Linked DNA regions of Struthio camelus. The protein of the gene in region 1 binds, or shares a complex with, the protein of each later gene. Links are inferred from orthologs where the notes say so. Each region holds a gene or a part of one and is shown in the gene's direction. Other genes may lie near its edges. The genes, in order: PRPF31, SNRNP200, LSM5 and SNRNP40.

What was found.
Region 2: PRPF31 (region 1) and SNRNP200 share a complex: the UniProt entries of both Homo sapiens proteins name them as parts of the U4/U6-U5 tri-snRNP complex. The link is inferred for Struthio camelus from reciprocal best matches to the Homo sapiens genes PRPF31 and SNRNP200.
Region 3: PRPF31 (region 1) and LSM5 share a complex: the UniProt entries of both Homo sapiens proteins name them as parts of the U4/U6-U5 tri-snRNP complex. The link is inferred for Struthio camelus from reciprocal best matches to the Homo sapiens genes PRPF31 and LSM5.
Region 4: PRPF31 (region 1) and SNRNP40 share a complex: the UniProt entries of both Homo sapiens proteins name them as parts of the U4/U6-U5 tri-snRNP complex. The link is inferred for Struthio camelus from reciprocal best matches to the Homo sapiens genes PRPF31 and SNRNP40.

Annotation. Positions count from the first base shown.
Region 1 is NW_027182594.1:29,834-37,086, reverse strand, and holds the start of PRPF31 (U4/U6 small nuclear ribonucleoprotein Prp31), read left to right. Parts: upstream 1-4,241; 5' UTR 4,242-4,311; coding exon 4,312-4,485; intron 4,486-5,486; coding exon 5,487-5,547; intron 5,548-5,705; coding exon 5,706-5,789; intron 5,790-5,945; coding exon 5,946-6,043; intron 6,044-6,159; coding exon 6,160-6,266; intron 6,267-6,359; coding exon 6,360-6,529; intron 6,530-6,616; coding exon 6,617-6,774; intron 6,775-6,848; coding exon 6,849-6,938; intron 6,939-7,030; coding exon 7,031-7,158; intron 7,159-7,246; coding exon 7,247-7,253. Other genes in the region: TFPT (TCF3 fusion partner), read right to left, coding at 1-27, 1,707-1,777, 2,352-2,597. UniProt on the Homo sapiens protein: Involved in pre-mRNA splicing as component of the spliceosome. Required for the assembly of the U4/U5/U6 tri-snRNP complex, one of the building blocks of the spliceosome.
Region 2 is NC_090968.1:1,325,942-1,333,370, forward strand, and holds the start of SNRNP200 (U5 small nuclear ribonucleoprotein 200 kDa helicase), read left to right. Parts: upstream 1-4,425; 5' UTR 4,426-4,529; coding exon 4,530-4,574; intron 4,575-5,430; coding exon 5,431-5,594; intron 5,595-6,049; coding exon 6,050-6,221; intron 6,222-6,645; coding exon 6,646-6,838; intron 6,839-7,097; coding exon 7,098-7,153; intron 7,154-7,429. Other genes in the region: protein FAM178B, read right to left, coding at 115-216, 372-462, 922-1,019, 1,196-1,372, 1,715-1,805, 1,891-2,011, 2,091-2,169, 2,261-2,366 and 4 more. UniProt on the Homo sapiens protein: Catalyzes the ATP-dependent unwinding of U4/U6 RNA duplices, an essential step in the assembly of a catalytically active spliceosome. Plays a role in pre-mRNA splicing as a core component of precatalytic, catalytic and postcatalytic spliceosomal complexes.
Region 3 is NC_090943.1:55,214,247-55,222,166, reverse strand, and holds the start of LSM5 (U6 snRNA-associated Sm-like protein LSm5), read left to right. Parts: upstream 1-4,913; 5' UTR 4,914-5,118; coding exon 5,119-5,314; intron 5,315-6,414; coding exon 6,415-6,510; intron 6,511-6,739; coding exon 6,740-6,767; intron 6,768-7,442; coding exon 7,443-7,515; intron 7,516-7,920. Other genes in the region: late secretory pathway protein AVL9 homolog, read right to left, coding at 1,801-1,896. UniProt on the Homo sapiens protein: Plays a role in pre-mRNA splicing as component of the U4/U6-U5 tri-snRNP complex that is involved in spliceosome assembly, and as component of the precatalytic spliceosome (spliceosome B complex).
Region 4 is NC_090964.1:4,646,880-4,654,507, forward strand, and holds the start of SNRNP40 (U5 small nuclear ribonucleoprotein 40 kDa protein), read left to right. Parts: upstream 1-4,621; 5' UTR 4,622-4,630; coding exon 4,631-4,840; intron 4,841-5,000; coding exon 5,001-5,130; intron 5,131-5,756; coding exon 5,757-5,850; intron 5,851-6,626; coding exon 6,627-6,792; intron 6,793-7,376; coding exon 7,377-7,499; intron 7,500-7,628. Other genes in the region: ZCCHC17 (zinc finger CCHC domain-containing protein 17), read right to left, coding at 25-116, 1,543-1,643, 3,311-3,368, 3,763-3,807. UniProt on the Homo sapiens protein: Required for pre-mRNA splicing as component of the activated spliceosome. Component of the U5 small nuclear ribonucleoprotein (snRNP) complex and the U4/U6-U5 tri-snRNP complex, building blocks of the spliceosome.

The DNA of each region.
Region 1 (7,253 bases):
TAGGAGTCCAGCACCTTCATGAGGAACCTGCCGGGGGAACAGGGAACGGGGTGCGATGACGGTGTCGTGCGGGCGGCTGTTGTCACCGCGCGCAGGCTGACGGCACCGCGCGGACACTGCGCGCGGCTGTCAGTGCCGCCTGCGGGACGTCACGCGTGATGTCAGGGCCGTGCACGGTGACGGTAGCCCGTGCAGCATCGGCGCGCGGTGTTGGGGGCTGGGTGGTATCGGTACCACGCAGCGTCAGCGCGCCGCGTCGGTGCACGGTGTTGGTGCCGCGCACGGTGTTGGTGCAGCACCGTGCGCGGCATCAGTGCGTGGTACCGTATGCAGTGTCGGTGTGTGGTGGCGCGTGCAGTGTTGGTGCGTGGTAGCGTATGCGGTGTCAGTGTCACCACACGGTGTCAGTGCGGTCTTGGTGCACGGTGCCGTACTCAGTGTCGGTACGTGGTGTCAGTGTGCAGTGCACGGCGCTGTACGAGGTGCTGGCGCGCGGTGCCCGGCGCTGTACGCAGTGTCAGTGCAGTGTTGGTGCGGTGTTGGCACGTGGTGCCCGGTGTTGTACGCGGTGTTGGCGCGGAGCCCGGCGCGGTGCCCAGCGGTGTACGCGGTGTTGGCATGGTGTTGGCACATGGTGTCGGCGCGCGGTGCTTGGTGCTGTACGCGGTGTCGGCGTGGTGTCGGCGCGTGGTGCCCAGCGCTGTACGTGGTGTCGGCGCGCGGTGCCCGGCGCTGTACGTGGTTTCGGCGCGGTGTCGGCACGCAGTGTCGGTGCGCGGTGCCCAGCGCTGTATGCAGTGTCAGTGCAGTGTTGGTGCGGTGTTGGCACGTGGTGCCCGGTGTTGTACGCGGTGTTGGCGCGGAGCCCGGCGCGGTGCCCAGCGGTGTACGCGGTGTTGGCATGGTGTTGGCACATGGTGTCGGCGCGCGGTGCTTGGTGCTGTACGCGGTGTTGGCGTGGTGTCGGCGCGTGGTGCCCAGCGCTGTACGTGGTGTCGGCGCGCGGTGCCCGGCGCTGTACGTGGTTTCGGCGCGGTGTCGGCACGCAGTGTCGGTGCGCGGTGCCCAGCGCTGTATGCAGTGTCAGTGCAGTGTTGGTGCGGTGTTGGCACGTGGTGCCCGGTGTTGTACGCGGTGTTGGCGCGGAGCCCGGCGCGGTGCCCAGCGGTGTACGCGGTGTTGGCATGGTGTTGGCACATGGTGTCGGCGCGCGGTGCTTGGTGCTGTACGCGGTGTCGGCGTGGTGTCGGCGCGTGGTGCCCAGCGCTGTACGTGGTGTCGGCGCGCGGTGCCCGGCGCTGTACGTGGTTTCGGCGCGGTGTCGGCACGCAGTGTCGGTGCGCGGTGCCCAGCGCTGTATGCAGTGTCGACGCAGTGTCGGCGCGCGGTGCCTGGTGCTGTACGCGGTGTTGGCGCGGTGTCGGCACGCGGTGCCCGGCGCTGTACGCAGTGTTGGCGCGCGGTGCCCGGTGCTGTACACGGTGTCAGCGTGGTGTCGGCGCGCGGTGCCCGGCGCGCGGTGCCCGGCGCTGTACGCGGTGTTGGCGCGCGGTGCCCGGCGCTGTACGCGGTGTCGGCGCGGTGTCGGTGCGCGGTGCCCGGCGCTGTACGCGGTGTTGGCGCGCGGTGCCCGGCGCTGTACGCGGTGTCGGCGCGGTGTCGGTGCGCGGTGCCCGGCGCTGTAGGCGGTGTCGCCGGCCCCGTACCTCCGCTCCTGCTGGAGGCGCCGCGTGATCTTCTGCACCTGCTGCAGCCGGTTGAGGATCCTCTCGTTCACCTGGGGGGGGGGAAGGGGGCGGGTCAGCCCCTGCCGGGGGCGTGGCCAGGATGGGGACAGTGGGCGGAGCTAGCTGTGTGGGCGGGGCGATGCAGGGAGGGGCAGAGCTGGGGAGCAGCAGGACGAGCTGCCTGAAGTGGGCGTGGCCAACCCAGGGGGCGTGACCAGGGCGGGGCTGTGGGAGGGGCTAGGCGTGTGGGTGGGGCTAGTTGAGGGGGCAGGGCTGTGCTTGCAGTGGGAGGGGCTGCCCACAGAGGGGGCGGGGCCACATCCTGGGAAAGGGCGGGGCTACTTGGGGGCTACTTGAAAGCCAAGAGGCCACTCCCCCGTGTGGTGGGCGGGGCCAGATAAAAAAGGCGGGGTTTGTTCCGGAGTGGGTGGGGCTTGGGCGCGGGGGCGGGGCCTGCCCGGAGTGGGCGGGGCCTGTGTGATGAGAACAAGGGGAAAGCAAAGGCGCTTCTCAAATAGGAACAGCCCCAAAGGCAAAGTGTGTGGGTGGGTGGGCTAAGGGGTGGCGGTGGCCATGTTGGGGGCGTGGCTTATCGTGGGCGGGGCCTGCGGGGCGGGGCCTGACCTGCTCGATCTCGCGGCAGCGGCGGCCCAGGGCCTGGAGCTTGCGGCGGGCCAGCTCGCGGTGGCGCCGGCGGCTCTCCTCGCGCTCGCGCTCGTGCTCGGGCCGCGCGTCGCCGCTCAGGCCGCCGTCCACGAACTCCACCTCCGTCTCCAGCTCGCTCTCCAGGATGTTGCCCCCGAAGAGGGGCGGCAGCGCCAGCTCCGAGCCCGGCGGCGCCGAGAACTCCTCGAAGCCCACCCCCGCCATGGCGCTGCGGGGTCGGGGGGTGGGGGGGGGCCTGCTGTGACGCTGCTGCCCCCCCCCCCCCGCTGGGGTCCTCTGGGCCCCGTTACACCTCCCCCCCTACCAGCACCCCTCAGCCCCCAGGGGTCTTTCTGTTCCTCCTCACTGCCCGCCCCCCCCCCCGATCCCTCTCTCCTCCGCCCCGGACCCCCTCGGTTCCCCCCTTCCTCCCTGTCCCCCCCCGGTGCTCCCTTCACCCCCAGTGCCCCCCCCAGTACCTCCCTTCACCCCCAGTGACCCCCTCGAGGCCCCAGTGCCCCCCTGCCCCCCCCTCGGTTCCCCCCTTCCTCCCCGTGCCCCTCCGGTGCTCCCTTCACCCCCAGTGACCCCCCCCTCGGTTCCCCCCTTCCTCCCCGTCCCCCCCCCGGTGCTCCCTTCACCCCCCAGTGCCCCCCCCCAGTACCTCCCTTCACCCCCAGTGACCCCCCTCGAGGCCCCAGTGCCCCCCCTGCCCCCCCTCGGTTCCCCCCTTCCTCCCCGTCCCCCCTCCGGTGCTCCCTTCACCCCCAGTGACCCCCCCGAGGCCCCAGTGCCCCCCTGCCCCCCCCAGTTCCCCCCTTCCTCCCCGTGCCCCTCCGGTGCTCCCTTCACCCCCAGTGACCCCCCCGAGGCCCCAGTGCCCCCCTGCCCCCCCCCCAGTTCCCCCCTTCCTCCCCGTGCCCCTCCGGTGCCCCCTTCACCCCCAGTGCCCCCCCCAGTACCTCCCTTCACCCCCAGTGACCCCCCCGAGGCCCCAGTGCCCCCCTGCCCCCCCTCGGTTCCCCCCTTCCTCCCCGTCCCCCTCCGGTGCCCCCTTCACCCCAGTGCCCCCCCGAGGCCCCAGTGCCCCCCTGCCCCCCCCTCGGTTCCCCCCTTCCTCCCCGTGCCCCTCCGGTGCCCCCTTCACCCCAGTGACCCCCCCGAGGCCCCAGTGCCCCCTGCCCCCCCCTCGGTTCCCCCTTCCTCCCCCTCCCCCTCCGGTGCCTCCTTCACCCCCAGTGACCCCCCAGTACCTCCCTTTACCCCCAGTGACCCCCCCTGAGGTCCCTGTGCCCCCCTGCCCCCCGGTGTCCCCCCCCCGGTATCCCCCAGTGCCTCTCTGACCCCCCAGTTCCCCCCCGATGCCCCTCTGCTGCTGCCCCCCCCAGTGCCCCCTTCACCCCCGGTTCCCCCCCCGGTCCCCTTCTGCCCCCCGGTGCTCCCCCCGGTCCCCTTCTGCCCCCCCGGTGCCCCCTTCACCCCCGGTGCCCCCCCGGTCCCCTTCTGCCCCCCCCGGTGCCCCCTTCACCCCCGGTTCCCCCCCCGGTCCCCTTCTGCCCCCCCGGTGCCCCCTTCACCCCCGGTTCCCCCCCCGGTCCCCTTCTGCCCCCCCGGTGCCCCCTTCACCCCCGGTTCCCCCCCCGGTGCCCCCCTCCCCCCCGGCTCCCCCCCGGCCCCGCCCCCTACCCGGCGATGACGTCACCCGTCGCCGCCGCGGTCCCGCCGCCGCCGCCTCGGTTTGGGGGGGGGGGAGGTGTGTGCGGAGGGAGGCGGCGCGCGGTGATGACGCAGTCCCGGCGGGAGGGGGGGGCGCGCGGCGATGATGACGGAGCGAGGGCGGCTGGGGAGGGCGGGAAGTGACGTCGGAGGGAGCGCGCCCGGCCGGAAGTGAGGTCGTCAGGCGGCGACGCGGCGCGGGGAGGCGGCGGCGGCCTGAGCCATGTCGCTGGCGGACGAGCTGCTGGCCGACCTGGAGGAGGCGGCCGAGGAGGAGGAGGAGAACTTCGCCGACGAGGAGGACGAGCCGGCCATCGAGGATGTGCAGGAGGAGACGCAGCTCGACCTGGCCGTGGACTCGGTCAAGAGCATCGCCAAGCTGTGGGACAGCCGCATGGTGAGGGGGGTCCCGGGGGGAGCGGGGGGAGGAGGAGGGGGGGGTCCCACGAGGAGGAGGAGGAGGAGGAGGAGGAGGGGGGGGTCCCGCGAGGAGGAGGAGGAGGGGGAGGAGGAGAGGGGGGGTCCCGCGAGGAGGAGGAGGAGGAGGAGGAGAGGGGGGGTCCCGCGAGGAGGAGGAGGAGGAGGAGAGGGGGGGTCCCGCGAGGAGGAGGAGGAGGAGGGGGGGGTCCCGCGAGGAGGAGGAGGAGGAGGAGGAGGAGAGGGGGGGTCCCGCGAGGAGGAGGAGGAGGGGGAGGAGGAGAGGGGGGGTCCCGCGAGGAGGAGGAGGAGGGGGAGGAGGAGAGGGGGGGTCCCGCGAGGAGGAGGAGGAGGAGGAGGAGAGGGGGGGTCCCGCGAGGAGGAGGAGGAGGAGGAGGAGAGGGGGGGTCCCGCGAGGAGGAGGAGGAGGAGGAGAGGGGGGGTCCCGCGAGGAGGAGGAGGAGGAGGAGAGGGGGGGTCCCGCGAGGAGGAGGAGGAGGAGGGGGGGGGGGGTCCCGCGAGGAGGAGGAGGAGGGGGGGATCCTGTGAGGAGGAGGAGGAGAGGGGGGGTCCCGCGAGGAGGAGGAGGGGGGGGTCCCGCGAGGAGGAGGGGGGGGGGTCCCGCGAGGAGGAGGAGGAGGAGGAGGGGGGGGTCCCGCGAGGAGGAGGAACAGGAAGAACAGAGAAGGGGATTCTGGGAGAAGGAAGAGAAGGGAGGGGTCTCGGGAAGAAGAGAAGGAGCAGTCCTGGGAGGATGGAGGAAGGGATGTGGGGAGCCAAGGAAGAAGTTGGGGGGGGTCCTGGGAAGATTCAGGGGACCTGAAGAGGAGAAGGAGCTGCTGGGAGGAGGAGAAGAGGAGGAAGGGGAGGGCAGGGGGCCCGGGAGGACGTGAGGGGGGCGCCGCGGTCGGGGCGCTCTGCCCTGCGCCGGGGCTCGCGGCCGCCGGCTCCGCCGCGACGCAGCGCCCTGCGGCCCCGCAGTTCGCGGAGATCATGCAGAAGATCGAGGAGTACATCAGCAAGCAGCCGAAAGCCGCGGAAGGTGCCGGCCCCTCCCCACCCCGCTCCCAGCCCCACGGCAGAGCCCTCTGCCCCGCCCTGGGGGGGCCACGCTGCCCCACGCGGGGGCGCTCTGCCCCGGCGTCCCCCTCCCCGTGCTTGTCCCCGGCTCGGCCCTGAGCTCGGCCGCTCTCCCGGCAGTGCTGGGGCCGGTGGAGGCGGCTCCGGAGTACAGGGTCATCGTGGACGCCAACAACCTCACCGTGGAGATCGAGAACGAGCTCAGTGAGTGCTGGGAGGGGGCTGGCGGCCGGGGGGGCGACGCTGGGGACGTCCCGGCGTCCCCAGAGGGCTGAACGGGGGCAGGAGGCTCCTCTCTCCTCCTCCCTGCGGCGCTGACTCGTGCGGGGGGGCTCCGTCCCCCGCCCCGCCTCCCTCCAGACATCATCCACAAGTTCATCCGGGACAAATACTCGAAGCGCTTCCCTGAGCTGGAGTCTCTCGTCCCCAACGCCTTGGATTACATCCGCACCGTCAAGGTAGCGGGGCTGGGGGACGCCTGGGGCCTCTGCCGGCTCCGGAGAGGGGCAGCGGGGAGCCGGGACGCCGGCGGGGGCCCGTCTCAGCCCTCTGCCCCCGCCCCGTCTGCCCCCAGGAGCTGGGGAACAGCCTGGACAAGTGCAAGAACAACGAGAACGTGCAGCAGATCCTGACCAACGCCACCATCATGGTGGTGAGCGTCACGGCCTCCACCACCCAGGGGTGAGTCGGTGCTGCTGGCGGCTGCGAGCCGACCGCCGTCGGGGGCCGGGGCGCCCGGACGCCGGGGCTCCCTCGTCGCCGCTCCGCCCGCAGGCAGCAGCTCACGGACGAGGAGCTGGAGCGCATCGAGGAAGCCTGCGACATGGCGCTGGAGCTGAACCAGTCCAAGCACCGCATCTACGAGTACGTGGAGTCCCGCATGTCCTTCATCGCCCCCAACCTCTCCATCATCGTCGGGGCCTCCACCGCCGCCAAGATCATGGGTGAGCCCTGGCGCCTGCCCCCAGCGCCCGGCGCGAGCCCCTCCTGGGGCCGGGGGCTGCTCCCTGATGCCCCCCGCCTCCCCCCAGGCATCGCCGGGGGCCTCACCAACCTCTCCAAGATGCCGGCCTGCAACATCATGCTGCTGGGGGCGCAGCGCAAGACGCTCTCGGGCTTCTCCAGCACCTCGGTGCTGCCCCACACCGGCTACATCTACCACAGCGACATCGTGCAGTCCCTGCCCCCGGTATGGCGTCCCCGGCGCCCCCCCCCTTTCCTGCCCCCCTCCCCAGCCCCGCACTGACGCCCCGTTTCCCCCAGGATCTGCGGAGGAAGGCGGCGCGGCTGGTCTCGGCCAAGTGCACCCTGGCAGCTCGGGTGGACAGCTTCCACGAGAGCCAGGACGGGAAGGTGAGGGGGGGGGGTTCGGGGCGCGAGGGGGGGATTCGGGGAGGACGCCCGGACACCTGGGCTCTCTGCGCCGTCTCGTTTCCTTTCCGCAGGTCGGCTACGACCTGAAGGAGGAGATCGAGCGCAAGTTCGACAAGTGGCAGGAGCCGCCCCCCGTGAAGCAGGTGAAGCCGCTGCCGGCGCCGCTCGACGGGCAGAGGAAGAAGCGGGGGGGCCGCAGGTGAGCGTGGGGGGGTCTCCCTGGGGCATCCGGCCTCCTCGGGAACGTCCCGCCCGCGAGCCGCGCTCCGCTCCGCTCCATCCCCCAGGTACCGG
Region 2 (7,429 bases), on another chromosome or scaffold:
CACCAGGCTCCCTTGCTCCCCACGCCAGGTCCAGCCCAAACCAGCACGGTGGAGGGTATCCTGGGGAACAGCAGCTCCGGCGCGGCACCCGTTTTCCGAGCAGCGAGCACCCACCTCCTGGTCGGGGTCCTCTGGCTCGTTCTGGCACCCGGCGAGCACCAGGCGCTGCAGGGTGGCGGGCCGGACCAGCGCCAGGAGGTGGCACAGCGCCTGCAGCTGGTGGGGAGAGTGGGCGTCAGGGGCGCAGGCTGACGCCCGCCCAGCCGGGCTGCCTTGTCTCCCCGCGCGCCCGCAGAGGCACCGCTCACAGGGTACCGGAGCCCGTAACGGATGCCATTCTGAAAACGAGGGAGCGCCCAGGCTGCGCCCACCTCTGCTTGCGCCCGGCCGGGCAGCACCGTGCCCAGCGGCTCCCCCAGCAGCCGGGCCATGATGCAGAGGCTCAGGTGTCGGCGAAGCTCCCTGCGGAGAAGGCAAGAGCGTGAGAAGGGTGTTGGGGCTGGCGTGGCACGGGGAGAGGTGCCAGCTCGCGCCCACGCACCCCGCCACGTGCCCGGCCCTGCACAACCCACGCCCGTGTGCCAGGCTGGATCGTCTGTGCAGCGCCTGGCATGGCACAGTCCCGGCGCACTCCAGGTGCCCGGGGCGAGGGGCGGCGGTGCCCCGAGCGGAGCCGGCAGCCGGGTCCTGCCCGCTTTGTGCGCGTGCAGCCGGTTGGAATAAAGGAATTAGAGCGAGACGCATCCGAGCCTGGCCCTGGCACGGCGCCCGCAGGGCCGTGCCAGGCTCCTGCATGGCAAAACGGAGCTCGACTCCCCGTCACCGCGGCGCGGGGGGCACGAGATGCTCGGTGCGATGCCAGCAACTGCTTCAGCATCCCGGGGGGTGGGATGCAGGTAGTGCCAATGCGCGGGCACGTACCTGCCCCTGCTCGTGATGTCCGGGAGCAGGCGCACGACGGCAACCAGGTTATGGTGGTGCTGCGAGACCTGGCACAGGGACAGGCACAGATTTGGCAGCTGGGGAGAGAAGGAGGTGCTGAGCGACGAGCAGGGCGGGCACGGGGCTGCACCCGGGCGGCAGAGCCCTCGAGGGGACGGGGCGCGGGGGCGCCAGGCTCAGCCCGACCGCTGAGCACGCCCAACTTGTTGCGTTGGTGATGTGCAGCAGGGTTTGCTCCCCTTGCCTCGGGTACCTGCTCCTGCCAGTCCCCAATGCCCTCCAGCAGGCAGTGCAGGAGGTGCTGCAGGTCGGGCAGGGGCTGGCACCGCAGCGCCCGGTCGAGGCTGAGGAAGCAGAGCAGGGTGAGGAGCGCCAGGCGGGCACGGTCGGGGTAGCGGCCTGGCTGGGCGACCACACACAGCGCCAGGAGCTGGCAGGGGAAGGCAGCGTGTGAGCCGGGCGCCAAGGATCCCGAACACACCCCTGAACCACCCCCGTGCCCGCATCGTTGCTGGGGCAGGGATGGACTGGCGGCAGCCGCAGCGGGCACCCCTCCAGCAGCTGGCATCAGCGCTGCTCCGGGCCTGACTCTCATTAGCAGCAGCCCCATTAGCTGGGCGGAGATAACGAGGGCGGTCAGCCAGGACGGAGGCGCCCGGGTGCTGCCACACGAGCCCCTCCGGGTGGATGCAGCCACCTCCCTGTGCCAGGCTGCCCGCGCCAGCGGGCGCTAGGTCCCACCGCGGGGCGGGCACGGGCGCCGCGCTGCCACCTTGCAGATGTCGCTGAGCTGCGTCGCCAGCGCCAGGGCGCTGGTCGCCTCGGGGTCTGCCTGCCCCGGGCATCGGGGAGGGTCCGGGGGCCTGCAGGGAGAGGAGCGGGGTCAGCGCGGGGGGCACCCGAGCGGACCCAGGCGTCCCGATTCTCCCGCGCCGATCCCGGGCTCACCTCCTGTCCGCGGGGCACAGCTCGAGGGGCAGCAGGCCCTGGCGGTGCAGGGCGCCAAGGTCGGCGCCCAGGCGGCAGAAAACCTGGCTGATCTCCGGCACCGTGGGGCACCAGGGCTCCCCTGCGGGCGAGGGGGGCCGGTGAGAGCGGGGTAGGGGGCGCCCCGGGTGAAGGCAGCCCCGTGCCCACCCCGCGCTCACCCACGGTGCTCAGCCGGTGCACGTTGATGTCCCACAGCACCTGGAAAGCGTTGGCCGTATCCGGGCACAGGGCCATCAGCTGCCAAAGCAAAGAGGGCGTCACCGGCTGTGGCGCCGCCCGGGCACGGCTGGGACAACGGGGATCCTCCCACCGCGGGGGCCCGGCTTACCTGGAAGAGCCAGCGCAGGACGGGCAGCGGGCACGCGGGCACGCAGCGGTACAGCAGGCTGAGGTGGCCCTCACGGACGAAGGCGGCTTGGCAGGCAGGCGAGGCGCTACGGAGGGTGACACGGGTGCGTGTGCCCGACCACGGACACAGGCGGACGCGCAGCCCGGCGCGGGCACCCGCGTGCAAACATAACAAATACCCGCCCCCAACCAAATACACGAACACCCGCCCTCGCCCGCAGGCAGGACCGCGCGCGTGCCGGCAGGGCTGCCGTCGCGCCCAGACGCCGGCTGACGTGTTCCCGCAGGGCGTCACCCAGCCCGGGGGACGGGCCACGGGCGCGCGGAGCCGCCGGGACCCCCGCCGCCGGGCTCTCACCGGAGGAAGAGCGCTTCCAGGTCGCTCTGAGGCTGCAGCCCGCCAGCGTCGAGGGTGGGCGCGGGCAGCGGGCGGGCGTGGAAGACGGGCTCGCCGGGGTGCACGGCCGGGATGAGCGCCGGTTTGACGGCGAAGCGGGCCAGGAAGAGCCTGCGGGCCGGAGGGCAGAGCGGCCGCCGTGGTGCTGGGCGGGCGGGCGGCGGGTGCCCCGCGGCGGCCACCCGCCTGCCCGCGCCACTGCTACCTGTGCTCCTCGGGCAGCGGGGCGTCCTCGTCCGGGGACTCCTGCGGGCTGCCGTCGTCCTCGCATACCCACTCCGGGCTGCTGCGCGGCGCGGCCGCCTGGTCCTGCTCCCTGCCACGGGGGCGCTTAGGGCGCGACGGGGGCCGTCGGGCGCCCCTTAGCGTGACGCCCTGGGCCCGCCTCACCTCTTCTCCTTGACCAGCGAATCCAGGCTGTTGGCGAGCGGATCCGGCTGCGGGCACAGGGCAAGAAAGCGTTAACTCCCCAGCGGCTCCCGCGACACCCCAGGGGAAGGAGCCGGATGCCCGGCGGGCGCCAAGCAGGGACCTACCCGGCCGCGCCGCGGTGGGCTCCGGGCCTCGTCGCCCGCCAGCAGCAGGTCCCGCAACGGGATCAGGACGTCCTCGCCGTCCTCGGGGGACGCCCGCCCGCTGGCCTCGTCCGGCGGGCGCCCGCAAGCCGCCCGGCCTCGTGGCCGCCCCGGCGACCGTCCGCCTCCGGCGCGGCGGCGCCCGCCCTCGCCCCCGGGGCTGAGCCGGGAGCGACGCGACGCCGGGGCCGGCCCGGGCGACGCTCGTTTCGGCGAGGAGCTCCGGCCGGCCCCGGGGCCGGCGGCGCGTTGCCTGCTCGACGCGCCGCGCGTCTCTTTGGGCCGGCGGGGCGGCGGGGCGGCGGGGCGGCGCTCGGCCGCCGGCGGAGGGCGGCGGGGGTGCGGAGGGGGCCGGGCGCGCGGTCCTCGCCGGCCCCCCCCCGCCGCCGCCGGTGGTGGTGGCGGTGACCGCTCGCCTCGCGCCCTGCCGGCCTCACGCGGCCGGCGCAGGCCCGGGGGGCCGGGGGCGGCCTCCAGCAGGCCGGGGGGCGGCAGGGCGAAGGGGGGCCCCACGCGCAGCTGCTTGAGGGCCCGCAGCTGCTGGTAGCGCTGGAGGCTGGCCTGGAAGCGGGGGCTGAAGAGGCCGGTGCGGGGGGCCCGGGCCGACGACAGCGGGATCTGGTACCAGCGCAGCCCCGGCGGCGCCATGGCCGGGCCCTCGAGGGGGCGGCGGGGGGGGGGGGGTGCCCGCTGGGCTCTGGGGGTGGGGCTTAGCTGGGCGGGGTGCGAGGAAAGGGCGGGGCCTGGGCGAAAGGGGCGGGGCCGAGCGGGAGGAGGGCCAATGGGAGGCTGGTGGGTGGGGGGAGGGGGGGGTATGTGCGGCGCTGGCCCCTCCTACCCGCGGCGCTGCTTTCAAATGGCAACTGGCAACGGCCCCGCCCCTTCCTCCCCGCCTCCTTTCCCGTCTGAGCCAATCGGAGCTGGGGCAGGGCGGCGCGCCCCGCCCCCTCGCGTCTGGCCGAGCCAGCTCTTTGGTGGGGAGGAGCAAGGGAACGGTCTATCAACGGCAAAGCCCCGCCCCCCTGCCAATCAGCATGAGAGGCGGGGCTAGCCCCTCCGTGAGTGTCTCCTCCCCTCAGCAGACTCCCGCCTCGCATGCTGGGAGATGTAGTCCCCGAGGCAGCAGGGCATGCTGGGAGTTGTAGTCCCGAGGGGGCAACGCCGCCCCGCGGCACCAGCACTTCCGGGTCGCCTAGGGGCACCGGAGACTGCTTCCGCTTGCCCCGGAAGTTCCGCTGCCTGCTCCGGTGCGCGGCGGCGGCCAGCCCGGCGGCGCCATGGCGGATGTGACAGCGCGGAGCCTCCAGTACGAGTACAAAGCGGTGAGTGCGGCCCGGCGGGGCCTTGAACCTCCCCCGAGGCGCCGGGAGGGCTCCGGGTTCCCCCCGCGGCCCGGCCCGGTCGGGTCCCGGGCTCCCGCGGCCTCGGTGCTGCCGCAGCTCGGCGGGACGTCGCCGTGAAGGGGAGCCGGGCAGCCGCGGGGGTCTGCGGGCGGGCAGCGCCGCTGGCTGGAGCAGGACGCGGCCCCCAGGACGCCCTGCAGCCGTTTAGGCGCGCCTGGGCGCGGCCGCAGCAGCGCCCCTTCCCCCTGGGCCCCCTAAAAACCAGCCAGTTTGAGAACATTTCTTTGTAGCACCGCTGTTACAAGAGCGGTCAGGAGCTCGGCGTCCTTGGAAAACAGAAATGAGTGCGACGCCCGCTTTGAAGCTAATTTTAAAAGTGCTCCTGTCAGACTCTGAGGCTTTCTGCAGAATAAAAGCTCCGGTTCTGGTGTAGTTGTCAGATGCTGTAGCGTAACGAGCGAACCCTACGGGGACTTTCCCGACTGCCAGAAGTTACAGGGTGCCGTCACGTGACTCAGTCCAAGTTTAAAGTCTAAAACTGTGGCCTCTTCAAGCATGAATAATTTAATTCGGCATTATTTTTCCTGCATTGGGCAGGGGAAAGTTGGACATGCTGCATTAAAGGGGGTTTTATGTACTTAATAGAGCCTCTGGAGCAGGCAGAAGAGGCTTCTAGATTTGAGCGGGGGAGGTTGCTGCACTGAACCTGCTTTGGCCTAGGTCGCGGCTGGCGCTGGCTTCTTGGTCTCACCTGTCCGGATGCAGTGGACTGCGTGGATTGCGTTAATATTTTCACAGGCCCGATTAGTGCCTGTTTTTATTCTTTCTCTTCCAGAACTCCAACCTCGTCCTTCAAGCAGATCGCTCCCTCATCGACAGGACTCGGCGAGATGAGCCGACCGGAGAAGTGCTTTCCTTGGTTGGAAAGCTTGAGGGCACCCGAATGGGAGACAAGGCCCAGAGAACCAAACCGCAGATGCAGGAGGAAAGACGAGCAAAGTGAGTGATTGACTCCTGCCCTGAGCTTGCCGTTCGAAGCCGAAGGGACGCAGAGCCCTGAAAGAGAACCTCCTGGTTGTATTTGGATTAACAAAGCTCTAGGCAATTAATGTGCTAGACCCCGTCTTTTAAGTAATACAATCTCAACTTGTTTTAGTTCTGTGAATGTGGTATAATTCAATACAATTACGACCCCCATTCAGGTCGCTTTCCAGCTACTAAAAAGAGCATCTGTACTTCAAATCAATTGTTTTGTGTTTAAGTGAATGTGGTAGAATAAACCGAACTGTGAAACTTTTTCAGGTTCGAGAGTTCATGCTGCATAAAGCTCTCTTAATGGTATCTTATGTCAAAGAGAAACGACTCCTTGATTCCCGCTGCTTTGGCGTAGAGTGGGAGAAGCGGCTCTGCTTCCTGACTAACCCAGGTGCTGTCTTCCTTGCCCTTCTTTCTAGGCGAAGGAAGCGTGATGAAGACAGGCATGATATCAACAAGATGAAGGGTTATACCCTGCTGTCTGAGGGCATTGATGAGATGGTGGGGATCATCTACAAACCCAAAACCAAGGAGACCCGCGAGACCTATGAGGTGTTGCTAAGCTTCATTCAGGCAGCCCTTGGGGACCAGGTAAGGACGTGGACAGGTCAGCGAGGGTATCTCTGCTCCAGCAGAGGATTCAAAGCGTGCATGTAAAAGTGCGAGAGAGAAATCCGAGTCCTTCTTCGTTATCCCATGAGATGGATTCGCTCCCTTGATTCTGTGTTTTGTGCTTGTAGATATCACGTTAGTATATTCGTTACACTGATGCGGGGTGGCATATCTCTGTCGTGGGATGTGACCTTTCGATGGCACAATCTCTGCTCCCCCCGTGCCTACGTGAGGGTGCAGAGCTCGAAACGAGATGTTTTCTAAATCTGGTGAGCTATTTGTTCCAGGACTTGAGAACAGAAAGCTGAAAGGATTTGGTCCAGAAATAGGAGGGAGTGATACCGTACCGTTTGAATGACAGTCCTCTTCTTGGCAACACGTGGTCACGTTCTTTATTTTGCAGCCACGTGACATTCTCTGTGGAGCTGCTGATGAGGTCCTGGCAGTCCTGAAGAATGAGAAGCTGCGTGATAAGGAGAGGCGGAAGGAGATTGATTTGCTACTGGGCCAGACTGATGATACCCGCTACCACGTGCTGGTGAACCTGGGCAAGAAGATCACGGATTATGGTGGCGACAAGGAAATCCAGAACATGGGTATGGGCTGTGCTGTAGCGGGCTGCAGCTGTAGTAACGGGGCTGGCAGAAAGTAGTATTACGGTAATTGGTACCAAACCCAGCCTTACTCCAGGAATAGTGTTTTCACACAGAGGAGCTAGAAAATTTTGGACTCTTTTCAAGCCCGAAACCTGGTTCTTTTCAAAATTTGGATGTACGGAGGTGGGATGTGTGGATCTGCAGAGCTTGCATATGGTCTCCAGATTTTCAGATTAATTAACTTGGCTCTCCCTTGCAGATGACAATATTGATGAGACGTATGGTGTGAATGTACAGTTCGAGTCTGATGAGGAGGTAAGAGATGAGACGCTGCGGGGTCTCTGTGCTGTCCCCCCTTGCTTGTTGAGCTGCTCAGCAGGGACCACGTGTGCTTGGCTTTCCTCAGCCATGCTGGGGAAGCAGGCATTGGCTCAGGCTAGGATACCTCTGCCAGGAAGGAGAGGCCAGATTACTTTAGACACTGCTTCCTGGCTTTGGGAGGATTTGTTGATTATCTTGCTAATCTGAGGCTGATTGTGAGTGCATGTTACTGAAAACAGATGGTGATATTTAGATCTCTTGGAAGAACTT
Region 3 (7,920 bases), on another chromosome or scaffold:
GGGCTTCTTCTAGGAATGATGAAGGACGCTGGTAAGACAGTGCTATGGGTTACCAGCCCATTCAGTTCTGAAACATATTGGATCATTTAAAAAAAGCACAGACAGCTTGATCCACCCTTCCAGATATGGAGCAGGGAAAGAAGAAGAGTGTTACCCACAGCTACCCACATTGAAACAGTAAAATACAATCTTTAAAGATTAGCTAATGAGAGAAAAGAAAAAAGGGGAAAGGAATAGCGGGGAAAAGAACAAATATAACAAACACTGTTTGTGTTAAGCATTCACTGATGTAAATTAGGAGCTCAAGATTTAAAAACCAAAAAAAAAAAATCATTTTTGGTCATTGCAGCTACCCTGACTGGCATTTCATACACCATTTGCTTACCAGAAATACTGCGACTCATGCAAACTCACAGCAAGTCATTTCCATCTGCATATCCAACTACTCTGATAATAACAAAGCAACTATGTTTGGTGACTAGTTGGGTAACAAAATCTGCAGACTACAGAGGTTATTTTTCCCTTTAGGAACGGCAAGTCCAAGTGTTCAAAATTTTCTTACAACATAACCATATTTAAAAACAAAACAAATGCACCAACAACACAGCAAACTCATACAAACAGTTATTCATCATTTGATCATTTAAAACTTATGTGTATTTCTGAACACAGAACTCACTGTCTTTCCTAGCAGAGGTCAGTATTTATTCAACCTCAGTTCTTCTAGAGACTGCCCAATCACAAAATGTGGAACAACTCTAGAAGCTTAAATACTAGTTTTATTTTAATACTGCAACATTAAGCAAAACATTGTTTGAATAGCCATTATTTTATTGGCTCAAATACAAGTCCTACTGACATAAAACAAGCTTAAAAAAAATCTCTCGTTATAACAAAGCTCTTAAAATGGAAAATTATAGAAAAAAAGAGGGGGGGGGAAGAAAAGAGAGGCTAAAACACACTAATCCTTTTGGACAGGGAGTCAATAGCACTCCAGGAGTCCGGGCGCAGGGGCAGAGAGCTGGCTCTCTGCTTTCTTGTGGGCCACCCGATTCTTACCTCAGGGATTCACCCCGTGCAGGAGAGGCAGAGCACCGTGAAGGCACGGAGGCCCCATGCTCTCCTGACACCAAGGCTCCCACGGGGCGCCCCTGAGGCCTGCCCAGCTCCCCAGCACAGGAAGGGGCCCGCCAAGCGCAGGCAGGGCAGGAGGCGAGCACAGCTCGCCAGGGAGCAGGGCGCCGGCCCCAGCTGCCTGCCCTGCCCAGCAGCATGTGCTGTCCGGCCTGTCAGCAAGCGCCCGCAGCGCTCCGGGTCGCTGCTCCTCCATCGCTAGCAGATTCACCTCAAAAAAAAAAAAAAAAATCGCAAAAATATTTTTTGTTTTGACCTTCTTGGAGATCCCCCTCTGCCTCTAGGCCTGCAGTGATCACCAGGGCTTATGTCAAACGCCGGCGGGGGGAGGGGGGCTGGACACGACACCCGTCGCCAGGGACCCGCAGTGCCGAGCCTGGCGCAGCCTCGCCCGCCCGCATCGCACTCACCCTCGGGCGGGAGCGCTTCGGGCGTGTCGCGCGCGCGCCTGACCGCACGTTAACCGCCCTCTGCCGCGCGAGGCGAACTGAGTCACGGCTTCGGCGGGCCCCCCCGCACCTCCGGGCCCCGTACGCCGTTAGTACCGTTGGGCCCCAACGAGCTCCCAGCCTCGCCGACCCTACGGCCTAGGAAACGACCCCCCCCCACGCCGGGGGGGGCAGGGGGAGGGTGTGGGGAGACGCGGGAGAAGGCGGCGCCCCTCACCTGGCAGCCCTTCTTGTGGTGGAAGCCCACCACCACGATGTGCAGCACCGGCCCCCGCTGAGGGCCGGCCGGCGGGGAGGCGCCTGGCTTCTCCATGCCGAAGGCCGCTGCCCACCGCCCCGCCGCCGCCGCCGCCGCCGCCGAGCCCGGGCGCTCGCTCCGCCTCCCGCCGCCCAGGAGCCCGGCGGAGCCGCCCCAGCCACCCGCTTCCTTCCGCAGCGCCGGCCCGGCGGAGGGCGGAGCCTCCCGTCTCGCCCCGCCCGGCCTTCTTCTGCCCGGTGCTCGCCCAGCTCCGCCCGCCGCCGCCGCTTGCCCCGCGCCGGGAGCGCCGCTGCCCGCTCGGCCCCGGGGCTGGGTACACCCGAAAACGGTGGCGAGTTTCTCTCTCTCTCTCTCTCAGTAAATCTTAATTATTGACTACTTAACTGATGGCAGCACAAAACTCTGACCCGATTTTAATATCCACGTTAAGTGAGGTGGCTTGCGGAAGACTGAAAATAAAACCGAAAGATAAACTTATTTCTGAAGTTTGGTTGTTTTTTTTTTTTGGCATGGATCTTCCATTTTCCAAGTGTTGCTGTTCAAACAAATTAGGGCTCCGTGCTGTTTGCAGAACTTGAGAGAAGTCAGCCGTGGGGTTGCTTAACTGGGGGCACATCTATTAATGGGTTCAAGTTGGAAAAATCAAGTTAATGCACTTCCATTAGAGCTGTTACACTACTAAACATATATTAGGATATCCTGAGGAAGAGAGTTCAAAGCCCTGTCCCAGAGCACAAACAAATTCAGTATAAGAGAGTTAAAATCTTTTATCTTGCTGTGCTCAGACCATGCTCCCTCATTAACCTTTCTCAGGATTCAGTCCTGTTTAAGTCAACAGCATTTGCTAGTGACTGTACCCTTAATAATTAGGACTCTTTGTGGAAATTAGAAGAAGAGATTCATTTGGGAAAAAAAAATAGAAGAAAAATGCTCAAAGAAAATCTCATCGCTACCACAATACCCAGGAGCTCCAATTCTAACACCAAAGTCTATAATTACATATTGTTCTTCAACTTCAACAGAAGCTCCATTACATAAAATATATACTTTGGGGAACAAAGGATAAACTGCAGGGAACAATCCTTCACTGGCAAGAGAACAATTCCTTATCAGGTCTTTTCTGTACCTTACTTTTATGATGCTCAATATAATTCCAAAAAAGAACAATGTGTGAAATATGAGCCATTATCCCCTCCAGTAACAGGATATACCAAAAAAGAGATGCCTGAGAGTATTTTTATTTCATGTTCAGTTAATTGAAGAAAGGGCAGTGTGGCAGTACTCTCAGTGCTATGGATTTTGCATTATAAGGGCATCACAATGAGACTGCTGGATAACTGTGGATTATTACTTCTCTGAATAGGTTATTAGATTTTTTTTCATTGTTTGAAATTTTCTTTCCCACTAAGGCAATAAATAAAAATGTTAAATGTTAGACTGAATGACATCAGCCTGTTTTAGAAAATTGAACTGACTGACATATTTTATGTCTTTTTCACAGCTAACACTGTGTGTGTGTAGTTATGGAATAGAAAGGGAGATAGAGCAGCTATGAAAGTCTCAGTGGGAACTTTCCTAATGGAATTTACTTTCTCAATGCATATCTAACAAATATCAGTAATAAACTCGAACAAACTCAGTTGGCCATAGAGGGAGTTCTTTTCTCTCAGCAGTAATATTTGAGCTACCGCAAGCTATTATAACATCAGCACAGCAAACAGAATTTGTCACTCATTTGGAATTTAGTAACAATTATCAAAGTTATCAGTGCTGATTATGTGTAGTGACACTTCTTGAGATGGATAACTTTTACAAGAGAAGTATGTTTTATGCATCTAGAAGTAGCCTCAGAGGTGAGCAGTGCTTGTAGTAGCTGGTAGTTTCACTGAATTTTTTAAGTATAGCCCATTTTCCTAAAGGAAGAAATTGTGAATTTGTAGAGAAGAGCATGTGACTAAAAATAATTATTCTGAGATTTCTGCTAATAAGAAAGCATAAACGAAATCCTGGCATGGATTTGAGGTTTGTAACTGATTTCTTGCTGGTTACAATCTCAGTTCCTGTTTGGAGTGTATTGCTTCTGAGGCTCTTACACCAAATACTAGCAAAACCAAACTGAATTTTATGTAGTAATGACTATGACTCTGCTTGGGATTATGATCTCCCACTTGGAACCTTCTCCTGTAAAAAAAAAAAAAGAAAGGTAAAAGACAAAGAAAGTAATGATGGGCTAGAGAATTCATGAATGTCTCACAGTATTAGGAAACTGGAGGATATTTTACAAAGATAAAAGTCTTAGATATGAACATTAAAATACAGAAAATAGCCATTAGTTAAATAAACAAACAAAAAAACCCATGCAGAACAAAGTGATTATTTTGATCAAAATTTGGAAAAAGGCAGTAAGGCAAGAGGAAAAAACCTCTGAAAGTGAAAGTTCATCTGTCTTCACTATCATGAATTCACGTGCACAAGAATTTCATTAAAGGCATGTTTTGGATCAGTATGTATGCAAAATGATCCTACTGAATTGCGGTCATTTGATTTAGAGCACCGGGTATAGCTCACATTCAACGAAACATATCAAATTGCCAAAAAACCTGCCTAGTTTCAACGCAGCTACAGTTTTGCTACTTGTGCAACATCGCTTGGCTTTTGTTTTACCTTTTTCTTTTGACTGCCCTCAGTGACTACGTAGATCTCCCACCAGGGGAAAAATACGTAGTTGAAATTACTTTGGCGTGATAATATTTAGCCAAAGGAGGATCGGTGCTGCAATGTGGGTAACCTTCAGAAAACCACGATTCTGTAAAATATTTAATTTTTCAAAAGAAAAAAAGCTAGAGCTTGACAACAGTCTCCAGTTCGAGGCACTAAAAAAAAAAAAAGCCGGCACAACCGTTAGGGACAGTAAATTTCAAGCGATTCGAGAAATCAGGAGGATTTTTAAAGCCCTTAGAAACAACGAAGCTTTGGGCAGAGAGCCAGGCTCACCCTGAAACACAGCGGGGCCCGCTCCCTGCTGTAGCATTACGGCTTACGTTACTAAGCGGGTGCAGACGGCGCAGCGGCTTTTCCACCTCGAAAAATAATTTAAATCCCTTTAATTCCTCAGCCGGATCACAGCACGGAGCCCCACCGCAGCCGAGGGAGCCGGAGCACGGCATCCACTACAGACAGCGACCGAGCCCCTGCCTGCTGATTAGAGAGGAAGATGTACCAGCTCCGCCTAAGAGGAAAAACACTCCGGGCTCCTCCTGCGTGGCCAGGGCGGCCATGTCCCCCCGCTGCCCGGCCTGGAGCTCCCGGGAAGAACGAGCGCTCGGACATCGGCTAGGCGGGGCTGCCGCTCCGACCCAAGAGTGTGCCTCGCCGTCAGCGGACCGTTCACTTCCGCAGGAGCGACTGGTTAGGCCTGGGTCCAATATGGCGGCTAACGCGACTACCAACCCGTCTCAGCTCCTGCCGCTCGGTAACCAGCGCTGCCGCTGCGGTGTCTCCGCTCTCTCCCGGTTGTTGCGGTCGGCGGCGCGGGGTGCGGGGGGGGCTTTCCTCAAGGAAAGAGCAGGGAAGAGAGGGCGGTGCCCAGGCTCCCCTAGCGGCGCGAGGGGCACCGCGCGTGGCGGGAGGTTTGAATGGGGCCCGGAGCGGTTGGGAGGCGAGGGGCGGGGCGCGCGTCACGCGCGGCGGCGGGCGCTGACGTCACGGGCGGCGCGCGGCGGGTGCGCGAGAGCGGCCGTTGGGGTGGGGCGGGGGGGGGGTGTCGTGTCATGTCTCTGCGGGAGTGTGGGGGCCTGGCTGTGCCGGCGTGGGAGGGAAGCGAGGTCCCGGCCCTCGGCGTGTGAGGGGTCCGGGGTGGGGGAGGAAGTCGCGCCCGTCACGGCTTCAGCCTAGGGGGCTGCATGGTTCTAGCTCAAACGTCAAGCGTTCTTGGCGGAGAAAAAAAAACAAAGTAACCCCCCCAAATTGAGGTAAAGCCTAACAAAAGCTTTCCACTGCTGTGAGAGGAGGTGGTCAGGGAAGAAAGGTGAGGAGAACAGTCGTAACTTGTCCATAAAATTTCTGCCTTACATCTTTTTGTTAAATTGTGGGATCCCAGTGCGTTATATCGCTACTCGGGCCGCTCAGGAGCAATGTCTGGATGGGTAAACTGTTCGACTTCTGGCAAATATTGATTAGGAGAGGTTTTAAATTTCTGTCTCTGGAGGGAAAAATAACGAGTCTTTTAAGAGTAGACAGCATACAAAGAAATTATTCATATCTTCGATAGGGATGCAGCACAAAGGTCTGCTGAAGATAGATCTAACTTTGGTGCTTAGCTCTCAGGTACTAATTAAACATGCAGTTAACAGCAGTAGTAATATGGCTTCACCAAAGTAAGGTAATAGTACTGTATAAACATGCTTAGAGAGTTTTTTTGTGTAGCATTAGTAGTAAACTGTGCAAGGAAAAGATTTATTTTTCTCTGTTTTGCTGGTGCCCTTGACAATTACTTTTTTTGCCATCATAATGTTGGGCTTTTTGTTTAGAAGTGTGTTTTTAATGCTTTTAATTTTTTTTCCTAATTTGCAGAACTTGTGGACAAATGTATAGGTTCACGCATTCATATTGTGATGAAGAGCGATAAAGAAATTGTTGGAACGCTTCTAGGATTTGATGACTTTGTCAGTATCCTTTAATGGAAAGGTTTAAGCCTAAACTTCATGTTTCTGCTTAATTTGTCTATTACTTTTAAGAGTTTGGAATTCCACTGAGTAGAAATTTATTATATTGTTTCATATGTTACTCTGATTTTATTTTATAGATGAAATCACACTTCCACGTAAAAGGAAAATAATTTAGAGTCTCTGCACCTTAAGGTCTCTCTACCTTATTTTCCTTGAAACTAGACTTTCAGACATGGTGTTAGAAGATGTTACAGAATTGTAAGTATTATTTCTATCTTTTGTGGCTTTTTAAACTTTGATTTTCCAAGTTACAAAAACATGGTATCAGCACAGTAATGTGATATTTTTGGAATACTTGTTGATTGAATAATTTAGACCTTAGACTTAAACTAGATGATGACCTATTGAGGACAGCCATGTCATAGAGCACCCGTTTCATGGTTTATCTCAGTAAATATTTTTAATGAAGCTCCTAATTTACAGCCTCAATTTTGCATGGGTTCTGGGTTGAACTCTCCAGTAGTTTGTTTGCTTTTAAGGCCTTGTAACACATAGGCAAAGATTTGGAAACCTGGCACACTTAAGGATAAGTAGTCATTACTTTGTTTTGCTATCTTGCTATTTGCAGCCTTTTTTGAATATTAGTGGTAGTCAAGATTTTGGTAGGATTTAGAGGGTAAATCCACATCTTTATGTGCTAAGGAGAAAAGTACAATGGATCTCTTTGGTCTTCACGTAGATTTCTTGACCCAGATGGCCAATGTATCAAGATTATGTTGTGAGATAGCTAATTTATTTGTTACTTCTGATAAATTTCATTCTAATGTAGAGCTTTGTGTCAGTACAATCATCAAAACTATAATCATCTTCCATAGTGGTATGTTCTTATTTTACTTAAGTCTTTTTTTTTTTCTTTTCCTGATGCCGTTTCAGTGAAATTACACCTGAGGGCAGAAGAATCACAAAACTAGACCAGATTTTGCTAAACGGAAATAACATAACAATGGTAAGTCGTCATTGCAAAGAGATTGCATGCACTTATGTCTGCAGTTGTTGAATTCAATTATTGCTTGATTTGCTACTCCAAGCTGAGTGGTCCGCTACATAGGCTACTTCGAGTAGCTTTAGGGGCATATGTGTATATGACTGAGGCTAGAGAAGCGATCTTATTGTCATACTTGTCATGTGTTACAGCTTAACATCTGTGAAAATGGGATGGTCATAATTTCATTTTGGTGAATCCTTTTCTGGTCTTCAGGTGTGTTAGGGAATCACTTCTGGCTTTGGAACCTTCTTTGGAGGCTGGTTAATACAGCGGCTTTTAACTTACGAGTGCTTGGCTGTACAACTATGTAGGGCAGGATGCATCTAAATCACATCCATTATCTTATGTATGGATGCGTTTGCAGCA
Region 4 (7,628 bases), on another chromosome or scaffold:
GCCCAGCTCAGTAGATTTACCTACTCAAGGGAAACATTGTTTGGATCCAGGTCTTTTCCTGTTCCTTGGTTAACGACCTTCATGGAGAGGGAAAGTTTCAGTTTGTCATCTTTCATCTGAAAGAGAAAGGCATAGAGCAAGAAGAGGAAGCAACAGCGATGTTAACTAATACAAATCTAACAGGCTGCCGATAGAGAAGGAATGAAATTGTCAGCACAGAAAGGAACTACTAAAGCAAGGCTACTACGTGAAAATGATTTTGTTCTATTAAAATGTAAATACAGCCAAAATGCAGTTATTCTAGTTAACATGAGTATGTTAAGCAGCTACCTCAGAAATAAAACAAGATCAAACTACAGATCCATTCAGATTAACATTCTGCATTTAACATGAGCGAACCAAAGCGCTGTAGAAGAAAGGGTATGTTTAGGAACTTTGCTATAATTCTCAATAATTAATCAGTAATCCACCCACAAGGGAGTTTCTGCTGGACCTTCAGCAGATTTGCACCCTGAAAAATAAGACTCTATACCTGCTCTCACATTTCTATCTTCTTATGAGGTTAAAAACTTTCTAAGTATCTGTATTAGGGGCTTATTCTTTTCTGAATCCTAATAAGCCCTTGATTGCCACATTATCCCTTTAGAAGCAAGAGCAAAGGTCGTAACTTTTAAAAGTCTTTTTACAACCTTCTATAAGTACACACCAAAAGGTTCTAAATCTGTTTATCTTCCACAAATGGAAGGCATTGCTTTGTATGTCAACCCTATTGTTATCGTTCAAAAAATCTGAAAGATGTAAACCAATTATGACAAAAACCTCTCATCTCTAGAAGGCAGCAAGTTTCAAAATACATGTATTTGCCAAAAGAATTATAAAAAACCACACACACAAAAAAACACCTTCCCACCTTTCTTTCCTAAAAAATATAGTCCACTTTCACTGTTTCAATGGCTCACCAAAGTAAGAGTCTTTGTTCCAAGGAATCTTTAAATATAGAAGATAGGCCTAGCATCACTTCTTTTGTGCACCAAAAAAGCAATATAATAAAGGGTAGAAAATAAGACACACCCCTCCAAAAAAAAAAAAAAAAATCTGTGTTTTCCCTTGGGCAAAATTCACTGTCAACTATCTTTCCTTGAAAACAAAAAACACTCAGCTTCTTCTAATAACAGACCTGTCTCTCACAACTGTTAAAAGACTGTGCTTATATTGGCTCTCATCTTGGAATCCTCTCAAATTGCTCATTTGGCCACCAATCACACAGTTATGGGGGTGCAAGCTGCAAACAGGTAGAGAGGAAAAGAAAGGAAAGCGCTTTGCTGCTTTTAAGTTTTGATTGCATTGCAGCAAGTCACAGAAGGTCAGCTTCCAATGTCTCACCTGACAGTGAGCAGAAATCAACTGTTTATCAGATATATCATGTTTTGTTTAACAAAGCGACCAGAACACCCTGCTTCTGCATATCAAAAAGTTCTTAGTTTACTCTTTTTGTAATATAATTTATTTATACAGTGTTAAAGAAACAAGAATTAACATTACCTCTTTTCCAATAAGTTTCACCCACACTTTGTCTCCAACATCTACTATCTCTGAGGGCTTATCCACACGGCAGGATGACATGTGAGTCTTATGAACAAGGCCTGGTCATATTTTTGTAAAAAAAAAAAAAGGGAGGAAAAAAAAAAAAAGTCTCTACTGACTGTTAGTTTTGTCCTCTAGGAGTCAGAGGGCACCTATTAAGAGGTTTCCCTACGCAAAACTAAGCATCTAGTTTCCCAAACACATTACGCAGATGAGAATCAGTTAGTTTAATCAATCAAGTTTGTTTGCAAACATATAAAAGCTCATCAATATTTGCTCCAAATTTACTCCATGCTGTTAGGAAGCATGAGTGACACACAGCAAGACAATAGGCGTCAAAAGAGATAGAGGAAGCGATGAGAAAAGCACTGCTCTCCCCAAAGGTGTAGAGCTGCATATGCCCCCTTCTGACCACCATCACCACAGAAACAATCCTCAAGTTTTTGTATGAAACAAATGCAATCAAAACTAAGGGATCTGATCAACCAACAGGGAGACAGTATTCTCATAGCCTCCAGGCTGGATTCATCAGTCCAAGTTTTCATGTGTGTCCAGACACCTCCGGGGCTGGATGATTTAGCACTATGTGCAATGAGCTGGCGCCTCATTGATAACTGAGACATTACCGATAACTGAGACACTAACTCCAGAAAAAGAAAACGGACCTTCCGTATTTAAGATCTTAATTTACAGCTTGTCAGAGAAGCAGGCCCCAAAGCAGCGTCTTTGTACTCAAAATACCAGGCGTCCACATGGAAAAAAAGAAAAAAAAAACTTTTTATTTTAAGCAGGCATTAACGCCTCTCTATTCCTGTCCGTCCTCTGAAACCAACGTAAGCACTAGAGAACAAAGAACATTTCATGCATCAGCAGCACAATACTTTGCTGGCAATGTCAAAACCATTAAATACCCAGGCTGACCTGATTTTCTGTTGTGCTTGCAAGGTCATACAGCCAGATTTTTTTTTTTTTTTAAAACTTACACAAATAATAAATGTGGGCTACAGGATTATACATGGAAGGATAAGTATGGAAACACACCTTCATGTCTAGGCTTATATTTCAGGACATGTTTGCATCTCAAAGAGACATCCTTCCACTAGTCACACTTCCATGCAAAAATTTTTATTAGAGCTGGCGCTAAAGTAAGTGTGCAATTCAAGATGAGAGTGAAGAAGTGGTTATTCGTATGCATACAAACAATTGACAGAACATCCAGCTTAAATTGCTTCTTTTGTGTGACTAGTTTATTTTACTCTGCAGTTTTCCCACAACTGTAAACAAAACTAAGTCAGCTTTTCCGGTCTATTTTTTATTTGAAGTCCACTTCAGTCATCTTTATTTGACTTGCAAACTGGTCATGAAAGAAATAAGTTGTCAAGCTAAATTTCTTGTGGAATTTTCTATAGTTTGTCCACCACCTGAAAACGATTCTCTAAGATGCGGTGAAGTTACCAAAAAAAAAAAAACCCACTTCCTCTGAAATCCTCTGAGCCTTTTCTGTATAACTGCATATGTAGCACTACCTTAAGTAATTTGTGAGAACCTGTTTTTTCTTTTTTTTAAGTTCAACACTTTTTCTGAGCTAGCAGATAAATCAGATAGAGAAAAAGAAGGAGAAATTCTAGTATTCTCCTAAAAATTGCCAAATCTTTTATTCTGGGGATGATTGCAGAGCCTAACAAGTCAACATGAAAATAAGCCTAAACAAATAAGAGAAACAAACCTTGTTTCCTGCAGCCTGGGATTTTTATAAATGCCCCATATTCTGTTACAGTAGCAACCTGTGAAGAAAATCAATACAATATCTAAACAAAAGAGACTTGGTAAAAATCCTGTTTTGAAACCACCAGTTAAAACATGCACAAAAAAGGCTAAATGGTTCTCATATCTTAGTTCAGTTTTAGACTTCAAGGCTGGGGAGAGACAACACTCCTCGATAACTCTAGAACAAGCGTGGCCAGCCAACTACTCCTCTGTTAATAATACATATGCATATATGTGTGTGTGTGTGTGTGTGTGTGTGTGAACACACACATATACGTATACTTACATAAACGAGCAACGTAGCTGACAGTTACCCAAACCACCGCTGAACTAACCAGTCATTTAAACTAAAGCAAACAACCCGCACTTCACGACACCTCGCAGTATCGTGGCCGCAGCCCCACTGCACACCTCTCCTTGGAAGATAGCGTAGAGCTCAGGCAGCGCCTCCATCATCTCAGACCTCACAGGACGTGCTCGGGAGCGTCTCTGGGAGCAACCGACAACGTTCCTCCAAAACCTTCTGGGCGACTCCAGTTGAACTCATTGCACGTCACTGCGCTGCGGAGGAACCACGCTCGTAACCGGAGTTCAGAGAGATGCCTTGGAAAAATATATTTAATCAGCACTTGAGAACACCTCCTGCAACCAGCTCAGTGACATTCGACTAATATGACAAATTCTTTGGTTCATTTTGATTTAGGCTATGATGCGACACTAGCTCCTCGAGCTGGGTGACACCAGCTGCGGCCGCCTTCGGGCCGCTCTCCCAGGCGGCACCGGGCCCAGCCGGGCCTGATCCGGACGGAGGGTGGGGAAGCCCAACCTCGCCGCAATGCTCCGAGACTTCCCCTGCCAGCGCGACACCAGCCCCGCCGAGGCTGAGACCGAGCGAGCGCCCGACCCGTCGCCGCCACCGTTACTTACCCCCACCAGGCGCCACCGCCATTTTGCCCCCTCCCGCTTCCCCCCTCGCTCTGAGGCAAAGCGGCGCTCCACCAACCGTCGCGCGCGGTGATCGCAGGTGACAGCCGGTGAGCCAATCGTCTTTACCTATATTGCCTCTCTCCCTCCATCCCGCCTCCTCCGGCGCCAGCGGCCAATCCGCGCGCAGAGCGCCCGGCCAGGCCGCCTCTGCTCTCCTTTCGCCACCCGCGCGCCGGAAGTGAGGTACGAAGCGAGCCGAGCCGGGAGCTCTCCGCCAATCAGCGCGGGAAGACTTGGCGGGGCCGCCCAATGGGGGCGAGGGGGCGGGACGGGCGGGCGCGCGGCGGCGGCGATGATCGAGCAGCACAAGCGGAAGGTCCCGGGCGGCGGCCCCGGCCCGGGCCCCGGCCCCGGCCCGGCTCCGGGCGCCGCCCCCGGCCCCGACCTCCCGCTCGTGCCCACGGCGGCCAAGCGGCCCCGCCACGACCTCCCGGGAGCGCCGGGCGGCGGCGGCGGCGGCGGGGGGCAGCAGCAGCCGCCGCCGGGGGCCCTGCTGCAGGCGGTACGGGCGGGCTGAGGGGAAATGGTGGAGGGGCCGGGGCCCGGAGGGGAAATGGCGGAGGGGGAAGGCGCTGGCCGTGCCCCGGGGGGGTGCCCCGTCCCGCCGCCACGGGGCCGCGGTGCTTCGCCCCTCAGCCGACTCACTCGTTGCCTCCCCGCAGGGCCCGCCGCGATCCTCCTCCCTGCAGGCCCCCATCATGCTGCTGTCGGGGCACGAAGGCGAGGTGTACTGTTGCAAGTTCCACCCCAACGGCAACACGCTCGCCTCTGCCGGCTTCGACAGGCTCATCCGTGAGTACCAGCGGTGCTGGCGGCGCCGGGCTCCGCTGCCCCAGCGAGCGCGGAGCCGGGCCGGGGCTCGCCTGGCTTCGGGCAGCCGCCCCGTGCCTCTTCCCTTAGACTACCGTTAGTTTCATTTCAAAAATCTGCTTGCTGAGTCCATGTAAAGCGCGTCGGCGCTTTGCCAGGCGGTGAACAGGAAACGTCAGGCTCCTCGGACAGGTTGCTGTCCAAGTAGTGTGGCTTTTTCCTTGGCTAGGGTCAGTAATGTGCCTTGCTTGTCCTAATTCTGTATTCGCTCATCCCTTGCGTAGGTTACTATGCATTTGTGTCTGCACCAATCTTTGGAAATACATTTTTTAAGGCTTTTGGCTTGCTAGAATGGGTTGGAGTGGCTACCTGTTTTTCATAATAAATTCACCTGTATCTGAAATCGTAAATCACCTTAAAAGAGCTGTGTGCTTTCTGGGGCTCACCTAGCCCACTTGGTACTCTTTTATTGCTATATGTCCTAGATGTGAAGAGATGTTGGCTACTGTAGGTGGTTCGTTTTAATGAATTTCGGGAGAATCAAGCTATCCACAGCGAGTGCGTGTTTACATCGTTCATTTACTAATCTCTCTCTTTCTGTCCTTTAGTGCTGTGGAACGTCTATGGGGACTGTGATAATTATGCCACCCTGAAGGGACACAGTGGAGCGGTTATGGAGTTGCACTATAACACAGATGGCAGGTAAATGTCGTGAGGTCGGTTTTCTGCCTCACTTCTTGCTCTTTCTGAACAAAGTCTACAGACAGTTTTGGGAGAGTGGCAGCATCTGTCATGCACCTCAGCCACACTCATTTAGGTGGCTCGTGAGGGGCGCTTGGCAGTTTTCAGGGCAACGTATTTGCTGCTGGCCAGCCAGACTCCTTTAGAGCTCCTCCTGTTCATTGCAGCTGCTTAGTTGACCTTCATTAATGGTACTGAAGAGGAGCACTTGTACTGTGGCTTTCCCAGGAAGGGAGTGTGCCTGCTTGAGATTAAGCAAAAGATATGGAGCTACTTGTGACCTAGGAGTGCCCTTGATTTCAATCTTGAGGAACACGTGAAAGTCTGAGCTGGTCTTGAGCGAGATGCTGGTTGGTTGGGGAGTGAAAGAAAACAAGTGAGATATTTCTTAATTTGGAAGATTGTTCCGCTGTTACATCTTAACCAGGAGTGCTACAAAGAATTCTTTCTCCTGTGTTCTCATCCTAGATAGTGTTTGAGCAGGTGGAAAACCAATACGTACTGATCAAAAAATGGGTTTAGATGGGAGCATCTCCACTGTACTTGTTCCACGGTCATTCAGTCTGCGCTGACCAGAATTGTCTTTGCACCAGCCTTTGCATATTGGGCGTAGTTCTTCTCAATGACATGTTTGTGTTTAACGTTTCGAGCTTTGCTCTCGGTACTTGGGAGTAACAAAAGTAGAATGGGAGAAATGCCTCTGAAATGGAGAACTTCACAGCTGTTCTTCTCCGCAGCATGCTCTTCTCAGCATCCACAGACAAAACAGTGGCGGTGTGGGATAGTGAGACGGGAGAGAGAGTAAAGAGACTGAAGGGCCATACGTCATTCGTTAACTCCTGTTACCCAGCAAGGCGTGGACCCCAACTTGTCTGTACGGGTAGTGATGATGGGACAGTGAAGGTCAGTGCGTTGTATAAGGAGATAGTCCTTTTTTGTTTTTACTGGTTCAGTGAGTTAAATTCAGCCTTTCTTTACTGTCTCATAATTTCATTATCTAACAACTTCAATAAAACTTGATACTTCTTTTCCTTCCACGATTCTTTGAGTATGGGTTCAGGAGATGCAGTTGGGATACCATATTGGAGCAGCCTAAACAAACCATTGTCTCATTAAAGGAGGACTGTCTTCTTTCTGTGTAACAGTGTGCTTGTTTGTGATGCATTGTAATCGATATAGATTTAATGCAAAATAAATCAAGTTTTACTGCAGTGTAGAACAGCATAAACAAAACATGAGGAAGGCAAACAGGTACTGAAATCTTTTACTCCAGCTCCTTCTTGCCCCGTCCCCTATTTTCAGAAATCGAAAAGTCCTGTGTTCCTGACCATAGCATGTCTCTGCTATTATTTTTGTAGCTAACTCTTGAGATCTAAAAAAGTGAGTTTCAGTAGAGCAGTCAGAGACCCGGCAACGTGTCTGCAACTTTCTATGATTTTATTGTTAAATGCCTCTCTGTAACTTTTAAAATTGCCATATCTTTTCAGCTGTGGGATATCAGGAAAAAAGCTGCTGTCCAAACATTTCAGAACACTTACCAAGTCTTGGCTGTGACTTTCAATGACACCAGTGATCAAATCATATCGGGGGGCATTGACAATGATATTAAGGTATGATGATTTCTATCTTGTGCATCTGTTCTGACTTTACACACCTTTTCCGTCCCATCAGATTTTGATTGTAGCGAAATGCAAGATATAGCAATGGTCGAGGGAAAACGTGGAAGCCTGTTGGTTAAC